3 linked regions of the Xenopus tropicalis genome follow. The protein of the gene in region 1 interacts with the protein of each later gene in a biochemical or structural test. Links are inferred from orthologs where the notes say so. Each region holds a gene or a part of one and is shown on either strand. Other genes may lie near its edges.

Evidence for each region.
Region 2: the proteins of nfkb1 (region 1) and dpf2 form a complex in vitro, tested with the Homo sapiens proteins (2 studies listed by BioGRID). The link is inferred for Xenopus tropicalis from reciprocal best matches to the Homo sapiens genes NFKB1 and DPF2.
Region 3: the proteins of nfkb1 (region 1) and map3k8 form a complex in vitro, tested with the Homo sapiens proteins (2 studies listed by BioGRID and IntAct, with this or other methods). The link is inferred for Xenopus tropicalis from reciprocal best matches to the Homo sapiens genes NFKB1 and MAP3K8.

What each region holds. Positions count from the first base shown.
Region 1 is NC_030677.2:73,654,942-73,659,057, reverse strand, and holds the start of nfkb1 (nuclear factor NF-kappa-B p105 subunit), read left to right. Parts: upstream 1-1,270; 5' UTR 1,271-1,576; intron 1,577-4,116.
Region 2 is NC_030680.2:32,327,764-32,331,416, reverse strand, and holds part of dpf2 (zinc finger protein ubi-d4), read left to right. Parts: intron 1-1,973; coding exon 1,974-2,120; intron 2,121-2,486; coding exon 2,487-2,615; intron 2,616-3,622; coding exon 3,623-3,653. UniProt on the Homo sapiens protein: Plays an active role in transcriptional regulation by binding modified histones H3 and H4. Is a negative regulator of myeloid differentiation of hematopoietic progenitor cells. Might also have a role in the development and maturation of lymphoid cells.
Region 3 is NC_030682.2:23,823,549-23,827,696, forward strand, and holds the start of map3k8 (mitogen-activated protein kinase kinase kinase 8), read left to right. Parts: upstream 1-1,239; 5' UTR 1,240-1,581; coding exon 1,582-1,597; intron 1,598-4,148.

The sequences.
Region 1 (4,116 bases):
AAATTATTTAAACATTAAATAAACCCAATAGGACTCTTTTGCCTCCAATAAGGATTCATTATATCTTAGTTGGGATCAAGTAAAAGGTACTGTTTTATTACTACAGAAAAAAAGGAATAATTTTTCAAAATGTAAATTATTTGCTTATAATGAAGTCCATGGTAGATGACCTTCTTGTAATTCAGAGCTTTCTGGATAATGGGTTTCCGGATAAGGGATCCCATACCTGTACTACCATTATGTAATACACAACTCAGTCTCAGTATTCAGCCCTTTTAAATTGTCCTTGGTTGTTGGAACATTTCCCATGAATTCTAAAGTTTATTAGTTACTCTAAAGTTGACCATTAAGATAAAACTATGATTTTCATATATCTGCAACACTGAAACATTATTTTTAAATAATATGTGAATTTTGCAATACATTTTGCAAAGTAATTAATAAATACAGATAAAGAGAGTTGTCTGTAAATGTATAGCTATTGTCCTATACCAGATATAAGGCATAAGACTGATTATTTGGTGTACTGTATATAGAACAATGAATCATTAACACAAAAGGGGTCATTTATAAACTCAAAGGTAGGGTGCAAAGTGCAAAAAGATGGTGAATTGCACCCTGCCTTTCAGTTTGTAAATGACCCCTTCTGTGTTAATGATTCATAATTCTATAAACCGAACAATCAGTCTTACAACGTTCATCTGGTATAGGAAAATATCTATACATATACAAACAACTTTAATCCAGACAGGCCATGTGTTCAAAGCAGTGGGATTTTCATTTAGGGTGCCATCTTTGCCATACATATATGCTGCCCTATGCTGCACAAACAGGCAGCATAGGGCAGGCAGAGTATGGCACACACAGGCAGCATAGCGCAGGCAGAGTATTGCACACACAGGCAGCACACATTGCATCTTTATGTTCAGTTACTCCCATTCATTGCCTTGGGCCTTAGGTTTACTGTAAAAGGAAGGCAAAGAAGCCAGGCGGGTAGGCCAGCATTGTGCTGCTTACTCCACACACCTGCAATGCCATTCCTATGGAATAAAGTAGCATGGTCTCTGTGCTGCCCAAGGTACTAAATGTTTATTGTACAGTCAGGACACGTGTGCAAAAAGGGAAAGCTGACAATCGGCGACAGAGAAAGAGAAAAATACGCATAGAATAAAGTTGCATCGTGTTACTCTCTGGCCTCCCACCGGTCGAAGTGACAGCAAGTGGGAAATTCCAGGCAGGAAGTGAGAACAACAGCTACTTCTTCTCTATGATGGGCAGAAGAAGCCGCACAAACCCCTCCAGCGGGGAGGAGGCGAGAGGCTGAGCCCGCCCCGAGCAAAGAGAAAACAAGGAAACTGAAAGAGGCAGGAGTGCGGCTGTGCGCCCGGGCTCTCACTTTTCTGCCCTTCGCTGCAATGGACAGCTAGACAGGAGCCTGCTGAGGAGGTGTCATTCATTATCTGGCTCGCACGGCAGCGCGTCCTGTCCATCACCAACACGCAATTCTTTGCATTACTGCGGCTGTCACTCATTTACTCAATCGGGAAAGACGGCCAGTAACTATAACCAGTGCAAGGTAAGAAGGAAGCTGATATAGAAAACCTTTGCTTGCCTGATGATGGGTTCCAGTCACTGAGTGCCAAAGTGCATTCATCGGAGCTGAGCTTACCCTGAGGCACTTCCTTGTATGCCGGCGCACATGTGCGCAATATTGTGCCCCCCGGGATTCCTGCCCCCTGTGTTGGAGCCTACCAACTGGGCAGCCCTGCTCTAATGTTACACTGCTTTAAAGGCAAAGGTTGTGCTTAATACAGGGGGAAATCATTGATACAGCTCAGAACACCTCTCTTCCCAAGCCTCTTACACTTCTACTTCCTTGTGATTCTGTTTCCCCAACGGTGATAGGGACAAGAGTAATCACTCAGTGGGTGTGAGCAGTGTCCATATGTGCTCTAGAAAAACTGTCAGTGATGGAAGAAGCGTGATGCTTGGGGTTAACACACAAACTGCTCATTGGGAGCCTGGCTTTTGTACCATAGATGCTACTTTGTATGAACAAACAACTGCTGAATTTGTATCAACAAAAACATCTTCACTGAATCTTGATAAATTACAAATCTTTTCTGTCTGCAGCTTTCTTTTTACCTATAACATTTGCTGCATCTTTGTGTTACATTTAAGTGAGAGTGATTTGTAAAGCATTACTCTCTTTTTAATAAGGTAATGCAAGATAGACAGAATAGACTGGTGTAGTGTAATATGAGGCCTTTCTTTGACTTTTGAACGTTTGCTTGCATCTGTTTTGGTCCAGGCTCCTCAGATTAGCATCTACTAACTTCTATCCATTAGGCTTTCTCTAAAATAAACAATCTCAGCTATACTGTATAAAAAGAGTAATAGCATAGATATTAAGGAATAACAGTTTATATTCACAAGTTATGTGTCACAATAGAAATATTCTGCAAGTAGAGAGGACTGGCAACACTGAGCTTAATGTGATGAAAATAATATTGTATTTATCATAGCATGAGCAGCCAATGTGACGTTTTGGCCCCCCTAAGGACCTTACCCATTTAATTTTTCTCTTTAATTATAAAACAGTACCGTGTACTTGATACCAACTAAGAAATATTGAATCCTTTTTGGAGGCAAAACAATCCTGTTGGGTTTAAATAATATTTAAATTATTTTCTAGCAGACTTAAGAGATCCCAATTACAGAAAGACCCCTTTTCTGGAAAACCACAGGTCCTGAGCATTCTGGATAACAGGTCCCATACCTGTATTATTTAGGTTATTCAAGGCTTTTGAGTATTATGAGGATTCTTAACCTATGGATCAGGACCCAGAATAAGGTTCCCATGCTGTTTTGGGTGGGCCTCCATAATTCTTTTTACATTATGAAGAATTTTCAGATACAGGTATGGGATCCCTTATCCGGAAACCCATTATCCAGAAAGCTCCGAATTACGGAATGCCCGTCTCCCATAGACTCCAATTTAATCAAATAATTCAGAATTTTAAAACTGATTTCCCTTTTCTCTGTAGTAATAAAATAGTACCTTGTAATTGATCCCAACTAAGATACAAATAATCCTTATTGGATGCAAAACAATCTTATTGGATTTAATTGCAGTTTTATTGATTGTTTGGTAGACTTAAGGTATGGAGATCCAAATTACGGAAAGACCCCTTATCCGGAATACCCTTGGTCCCGAGCATTCTGGATAACGGGTCCTATACCTGTATAGAAAATAGAAAATTGCAATGAAAACAAGGCAATTTTTTCAGTAACAAAGCTGATTCAGCCATGTCATTTGGGATTTCAGACAAAAAGTTCAAGTAGCACAGGATCTAGTTTATATATCAGTGAAATAAAAAAAACTCTTCTGTCAGCTATATGAACTGGGAGACGTATTAAAAAATCTACCAAATATCTATTACACTTATATACTGTATTTCTATTAGCATACCAGTATTGTGTCTTACCTGGCCAGTCTTTATGTTTAGACACACAACTTGCTAAATATCAATTTATTGCAAATATTGTATTAAGATCAAATATGATGATGAATGGTTGCTGTAAAGGGGATCTCTGCCTAAAAAACCTTTTTGTAAAATGATAGAAAACTTAATTCTAAGCAAACTTCCAATATACGCTGATTAAAAATCAATGCTGTTAATTGCTATTAAAGCAGTATTTCTTTATTCTTTTCTCTCTGGCTCTGGGTTTCAAGAGTCAGAACCAATAGTGCATAGAATACAGTAGTACCCCCATTTTACGTTTTTCAGGGGACCAGAAAAAAATGGTGCAAAATCTGGAAAAATGGAAAATCAGGGAAGTTTATTATGTGTTAAATATTAGTTGGACCACAAAACAATGGTGTAAAATGCAGGAAAACTTAAAAACCACAAAAAATTATTAGTTCATGTATATTTAAAGTTGCATAGAATGGTATTTTCTTTTCTATTGTGTTGTTGAAAACACTTTCAAATTAAAGAGTAGGCACGATGAGTAAACATCAACTGACTGAATGCTGTTTTGTTATGTGCTTACTCATCATCACCTATAAAATTCCCTGTGAATTTCTAATAAAATGTTATTGAGGTGGGGATT
Region 2 (3,653 bases), on another chromosome or scaffold:
CAGCTGTATTGTTTTTTTTCTCTCTCTTGGCACATTGGCTTCTCATCAGGCAGATAATTTAGAATAATATAGAATATAAATGTAACCGTATAATGCTGATTAGTAATTCAGATTCTCATTATATGGCAGCTCTGGGACCAGTGCAGTTTGCATCAGAATTTTATAATTAGACCTGTAGCATCAGTTTGACAGGCCAGCCTCATTTTCAGTTTGATCATTTGCGACAACCCCTAAGCTTAGCTTTTCAGTAGCTGCCAAGAAAACACTGATCGTGTGCACTGTCCAGGACAGTTCTAACAGAATCCAAGATGGGAAGCTCCTGTGGCAACTGTAAAGACCTATATACTACTATACTACTATATACTACTGTAGAGATACTAAAACTTGAAGCTAGTACAGTCAGTTTAGTAAAAAAAAAAAAAAAGTATAAAATAGCCATATTCATCTTTAGGGTTTAGTTCTCCTTTAAGGGTGTTGGGAATGGAGGTTATGTTCCATGAAGATGCTCCTCTAAAGCTGGCCATAAACATACTGATAAGCTTTTCATCCTATCTTCAGTTCAAATATGTTTGTCAAATACTTCTGGCTGATATCCTTTATCAGTTTTTATAGGTTGGTTTGTCAAAGGGAAGGTAAAGCCATAGCCAGTGGCATAACTAGAGATATATGGGTTTTGCTGGATTTAATCTCAGGACCCCCACCCACCCCCAACTGGCCACGGCTCCTACTGTTTTTGATTTCTGTCATTTGAGATGGTAGAAAGGTGGATGCACTTTTTATGGATACAATACAATATCCGTCCTTTGGCCCACAGGCTCAGTGGTCATTACCAGCAAATATTAGTATATGGCCACCTTAAGAATTCCGTATAATTTCTGTTCTAAAGGGACTTAAGGCATCATTAAAATAGGTAGCAGAAACAAACCTATCAAGAAATGGACCCATAGGGTCACACAAACATATATTTCAGGGTACTGTTTCATCCATATATGTAAATCGGGGTCTTACTCCGGATCTGGGACAACCTTTTACCTTAAATTGGTAAGGTATGTGCCCAGGTCAGGATGTTGTGCAACAAGCAGGCTCAAAGTTCTGGGGCAATGTAACATGCCTGACTGATTAGTCTCTGTCTGTCTGTGTGCTCTTCCTTACTCCTTGTGTAACACATGTTTCTGTTGCCAGATCAGAAGTGCAGAGGTATTTATCTGCTTCGTAATTCAATAACATTGTTTGCTTTTTTTCTCACTTTAAAAGCAGGCTACCCCAAAGCAGAAGTTTAAGGTTTTTATAGTTATGCTGGTAAAAGTCTGGCCTGGAGGCAAACTGCTTCTAAATATTCAGCCACAGGAATTTAAAATACCTAAACCAAAAGCTGTAGCATGAAGACTGAAGTCCAGGGAGGTTTACTTGGAGGTGCACTTTTAGATTTTGAATACCAACCACACAGACATTCCAGTGCCATCCTAGCTGGCATCTTTAAAATATCATCTCAAAAACTGAAAATCATTTTTGATCTTTGATCTGCCTGTTGGACCTGTACCTCCAATAAAAGAATAACTTTATTTTTTTTTTTACATCTGGCAGTATTGTGTTGGTACTCCTGTGTGGTACATGATGTTTTCTACTTTCACCTTATAAAGCATATTGAGTTATGTAGGTGTCTTTTAGCTTATGGCACAAAAAAGTGGTTGATATTGCAAAATTATTGCTGAATTACTAAATACATTCTAAGTTCTTTGTGAAAACATGACCTTTTTTTACTGTAACAGTAACATCTGTCCCCAATGTAAAACACCTGCAAACTATCCTTTCCTGCCACCCAGTTTCCCTTGTGGCTTTGCTTTGTTATACATCCTCCTGTTTTGGTGGGGTAGTGATTTTTCACCTGACTCTTTTTAATGTTTATCATTGCACTAATGCTTTATTACTTCTTTCTACTCTTCATTTTCTGCTGTCCTGCTTTTTCCCCCCAGTCTGTGGAAAACGCTATAAAAACAGGCCTGGTTTGAGCTATCATTATGCCCACTCACACCTTGTGGATGAAGAAGGTGCCGGGGCAGAAGATAAGGAGGATTCTCAGCCTCCCACTCCTATCATGCAGAGACCAGAGGAACAAAAATGTAAGTTTAGGCATCTACACAGAATGCAGAGGAAATGTTTGGGCAACTTCAGAAAACGAAGCACCATGTATGCTTTCCAACCGGCAATTCACTTTACTGTTAGTGGGAAAGCATTTTGGGGAGATTAGTCGCCCATGGTAGCGTAGATTAGGGCACCATTGTTTTAGGTGTTGCTTTCAAAAGCGATTACAAATTCATTAATTACAAATAATTCAATAGCAATTACAAATACATTTCATATCATTAAAAGTATATATCAAAAATTGCTTAGGATTGCATTACTTAGGTTATTCAAAATAGTTTTTTTAAGTTTGTTCCTTCTTGTTCTCCTTTTTCAACATATTTGATGCTTTTATCTTTTCCCAGCCAAAAAGGGCCCAGATGGTCTTGCACTGCCAAACAATTATTGTGACTTCTGCCTTGGAGACTCTAAGATTAACAAGAAAACAAACCAGGCTGAGGAGCTTGTGTCCTGCTCAGACTGCGGCCGCTCTGGTATGTTAAAAGAAGACTCTAGTATTTGATGAAGACTTAATACTACATGATGCATCTGATTTTATTTTTAACTGGAAAGCTTTTGCATTTAAAAGTTGAAGGCCCAAATGGGCTGTCCTAACACTCATAGGAATTCCGAACTATAATGTTTTTCAGGAATTCTCAATTTAAATATTCTAAAATGGGATATTGTGATGCATATATATGTTTAGAAGCTATATAAATGTGCATTCTGCTAATAATTTAGAGCAGTTCTTGGCTAACTGCGGGCCTCATCCACTTAGAGGGGCATGGGGGATCGGGGAAGTTGGGCAATTTCTGAGTAGCAAGCCAATTAGGGTGAGAGCTTTTTTTTGCACTTTAGATACTCCTGAAATCCCCATTGAAGGGTTAAGTGAGGAGTGAAGACTTACTTGCAGCCCTAGATATTCTTAAAACTGAAAAACGGGTTCATTTGAAACCTTGCTATAAGCTAAGTGGGTTGTGGACCTCAAAATGAATGTTGGGGATGAACTTTTAAACCACTTTGCCGGCCAGTTAACAGTGGTAGCAAAAAGCCAAATTTACAATTTTTTATTTTTCTTCTAGTGCAGAGAGTGCAATAGCACTTTTCTGCACTAGTGATGTGGCACCACCTTTACCTTCTCCGACACTAAAGATTAAGCGCTGTGCGGGGGGACAGGATTGGGGCACCATCATTTGTTTTGCTTTTTTTTTTTTTTTTTTTTTTTTTGTACATCCATAGAACAAATGTATACAGCAACATTGTACAGCAAATTAACTCCCTTCAACATTTGGCAGCTTGCCTTCTAAAGTTCCCCTATGATTTGAGTTATTGATCCTCAGGTCAGAAATATCAGATTAGCTTGCTGAGATTTACAGCCGGTTGCTATGCACATGTTGCAGAGGTCAGCAGAAATATGGTATTTTTTAGTTTTTGGATGAACGCAGATATTGGATACATATGTATGCAAAATATTCACTTACATACTATGTTGTGGACACAGGGCACCCTTCCTGTTTGCAGTTCACACCCGT
Region 3 (4,148 bases), on another chromosome or scaffold:
GGGGCAGAACAGCCCTATTGGGTTTATTTAATGGTTAAATGATTCCCTTTTCTCTGTAATAATAAAACAGTACCTGTACTTGATCCCAACTAAGATATAATTACCCCTTATTGAAGGCAGAACAGCCCTATTGGGTTTATTTAATGGTTAAATGATTCCCTTTTCTCTGTAATAATAAAACAGAACCTGTACTTGATCCCAACTAAGATATAATTACCCCTTATTGGGGTAGAACAGTCCTATTGGGTTTATTTCATGGTTAAATGATTCCCTTTTCTCTGTAGTAATAAAACAGTACCTGTACTTGATCCCAACTAAGATATAATTACCCCTTATTGGGGCAGAACAGTCCTATTGGGTTTATTTAATGGTTAAATGATTCCCTTTTCTCTGTAATAATAAAACAGTACCTGTACTTGATCCCAACTAAGATATAATTACCCCTTATTGGGGCAGAACAGCCCTATTGGGTTTATTTAATGGTTAAATGATTCCCTTTTCTCTGTAATAATAAAACAGTACCTGTACTTGATCCCAACTAAGATATAATTACCCCTTATTGGGGGCAGAACAGCCCTATTGAGTTTATTTAATGGTTAAATGATTCCCTTTTCTCTGTAATAATAAAACAGTACCTGTACTTGATCCCAACTAAGATATAATTACCCCTTATTGAAGGCAGAACAGCCCTATTGGGTTTATTTAATGGTTAAATGATTCCCTTTTCTCTGTAATAATAAAACAGAACCTGTACTTGATCCCAACTAAGATATAATTACCCCTTATTGGGGCAGAACAGTCCTATTGGGTTTATTTCATGGTTAAATGATTCCCTTTTCTCTGTAGTAATAAAACAGTACCTGTACTTGATCCCAACTAAGATATAATTACCCCTTATTGGGGCAGAACAGTCCTATTGGGTTTATTTAATGGTTAAATGATTCCCTTTTCTCTGTAATAATAAAACAGTACCTGTACTTGATCCCAACTAAGATATACTTACCCCTTATTGGGGGCAGAACAGCCCTATTGGGTTTAATTAATGTTTTACTGATTTTAAAGATCCCTTATCTGGAATACCCTTGGTCCGGAGCATTCTGGATAATGGGTCCTATACCTGTACTACTCTCTCTGTAGCCCACCATATCCAGGGCTAAGAATTATAGTGCAACACCAGGCTATTTGTATGTGTCACTTGGTATCAGTGAATCCCCCCTGGGATGGAAGCTGCTCACTGGGAGTCGCTGAGGCTGCTGGGAGTTTCTGTGTGAGTGCAGCAGGCAGATAAGCGGCACAGAGAGTCTCCCCCGGGGATAAGCAAATGAGCAGCGGGGGTGTGGGGATTTCCTCCCTGGGGGACACAGCGAGAGTTACACTGAGAGCTGCCACACTGCTCCTCTCCCTGGCACTGGCGGGGTTAATAGAATCTCCTGCTTTTCTTGTTGTTTCTCATCATTTCCAGGAAGAGCCGTGCCGCCGCTCATGGAACCTCCCCGTTTTGGACTTTCCAGCCCTCAGTTCAGCAAGCGGCACAGTCGGAACATGGGAGCCGTGTGAGGCAGCGGCGGAGCCGGGACAGCCATGCCCGGGCACAAAGGTAGGAATGGGGCTGCGGCTGGCACTGTGGGGATGGCAGGGAGGACTCCTACACAACTCACAGAGACACCAGTTTCCATGGTAACGTTCTTCTCACTGGGTGCCAAGCTAATATATATGTTCTGAAGCTTTAGATACTGAGTTGCCCTTATGCCCACTATGGCCAGGCTGGATGAAATGGCTACTGTACAGGGGGGCACATATATTTTCTGTCAAAGTGGAGGCCAGTGGGGTAGTATTTTGGGGGGCCCTCACTGCCTGTAATGAGCTGCACCCCCAGCTGCTCCCTCACCCCCTGCACTCACTTGCATTAGGCAACACAGGGTGGCAGGGGTGCAAGGGGGAATGGTGGGGTTCCAGGCCCCCCAGTCCTGCCTTTACAGAGTCTGTTGTATGGTGTTAACAAAAAACATTTAACAAAAGACAAATCTATCAGTGTAGGCACCCAGCTCTCTGCAGTCTCTGACCAGTGGAATCAGTCATGTGCACTGGAGCTGCTGGAACAGTTCTGTTTTTGTTCCAACCTTTCTCCACCCAACAGGCTGTTGGATTAGTAAATGGTACTTTCTAAAGTGATTAATGTAGCTCCTTTATGTAGCTCTGCTCTATCAATGCAGAAGGAACGCTGAGTAGCTACGTGGGGTGCTATAACAGTTAGGAATCGTAAGAGACCATCTTTATATCCGTGTCCTTCTAATAGCTGCTGGGTCTGGCTTCAGACCTGCTTGATCCTGTATATTGTACTGATGGTTGCAGTTTGAACCCACACATAAACCCCCTGTGCATTCAGTGGGAGGGGGATGAGGATAAGAGCTTGTACAGGTATAGGACCCGTTATCCAGAATGCTCGGGACCAAGGGTATTCCGGATAAGGGGCCTTTCCGTAATTTGGAAAATTTGGAAAAAATCAACAAAACATTAATTAAACCCAATTGGATTGTTTTGTATCCAATAAGGATTATTTATATCTTAGTTGGGATCAATTACAAGGTACTGTTTTATTAATACAGAGAAAAAAGAAATCAGTTATAAAATTCTGAAATATTTAATTAAAATGGAGTCCATGGGAGACAGGCTTTCTGTAATTCGGAGCTTTCTGGATAACGGGTTTCCGGATAAGGGATCCCATAATTGTATTCTATTGTATATTATACCTGGTGTAAACCAAAGATCCCATGCATACCCTCAGTCCTAAGCTGAGCTCTGTATGTGCATTAATATGTGCCCCACCACAATACACTGAGTTACCTAGCAATGTCAGAAGTAATGCAAGTTGGGTTGGTACCATTTTTGGACAGTGTGAAATATGTTATTTCTGCAGCCTCATACACCTAACCTTTAGTGGTTCCCAAACTGTGGGCTGCCCCCCCCAGGTGGCTCAGGGTCTTGCCCGGGGACCCAGGGTGAAGGACAGTTAGGGTGAGTTTTAGTGTGTGCTTATTTGCTATGTTAGATATTCTAGAATTTATGGCTGATTTAGCAATCTTTTCATATGTCTGTGGCCTTGTAATGAGCTAAGGGTGCCCTGGATTGATGATGCACTCTAACGAGGGGTTTGAACTGAATAATGCTGAAAACCACTTCTCTTGGACCATGTGCACTTTTATTCTAGGATGGTGCCTGTTTATCCACCTGTTCTAGGCTCAGAGGTTACGTGACGCCATTTATAGATGCACATTCCTTGTATCTTGCTTGCCCAAACATTGCTCTTTTGCTGCTCAGTAGGTGGCCCGTGCTCAGAAGGTGGCTCAAAGGCATTAAAGTGCAAAATACTCAAACAAATGAGAGTAACAGGTTATATACTGCGGGGTACAAGGTTAAGGCCCCATGACTGTCAGCCTGCCAGTTTATACCCAGGCTAACAATCTGCCCTACTGCACTGTAAATAAACAAATTGCAATTGCAAGTCTACTGGTTCTGACTTTAGGAACAATGTGGCAGAAGATGGCCAGACATACAGTTTCAATAAAATGTATATAACATTAAAACTATTGAAAATATGTAATGAATGTGTATTGGAAAGTATTACATTTTCTAGTTTATTTTTGGATTTTCCCCTCCCCTTTAATCTTTGTTATTTTCTTTGGAAGTATGAGTGTTGGAAACTGGGAAAGTCCTTGTTTTCTGCTTCCCTGGTGCAGTTCTTTGTCTGCGCCGATCCTTGTAGGGCTGGATGGAAAGTAAATAACTTGCATATTTTCGTTTCACTATAATGCAAGTGCTGAGATATTTATAGTGATTTCCTCAGTGGTTAAGCCCCTGGTCTGTCACATGTCTTTTGGTCTGATAAAGCATGAGTTCAGTCCATCGGGCAATCCCTTGTTGCATTGGTCAATACAGTTTGTCTGTGTTTATATATGATAAGTGGCTGTTTGTATTAGAAACAGTGCATACTGTGTGTGCGTGCTTGAGATTGTTATGGCTCAGCTGCAGTAAGTATTGCCATGTGGAAGCCATGAAGCTATCACTTCTGGATCATAAGACCTTCCATTCAAACGTATCATGTGAGCTTATTGTTTGTACATTTAGGGGTGTACCAATACACACAGTAG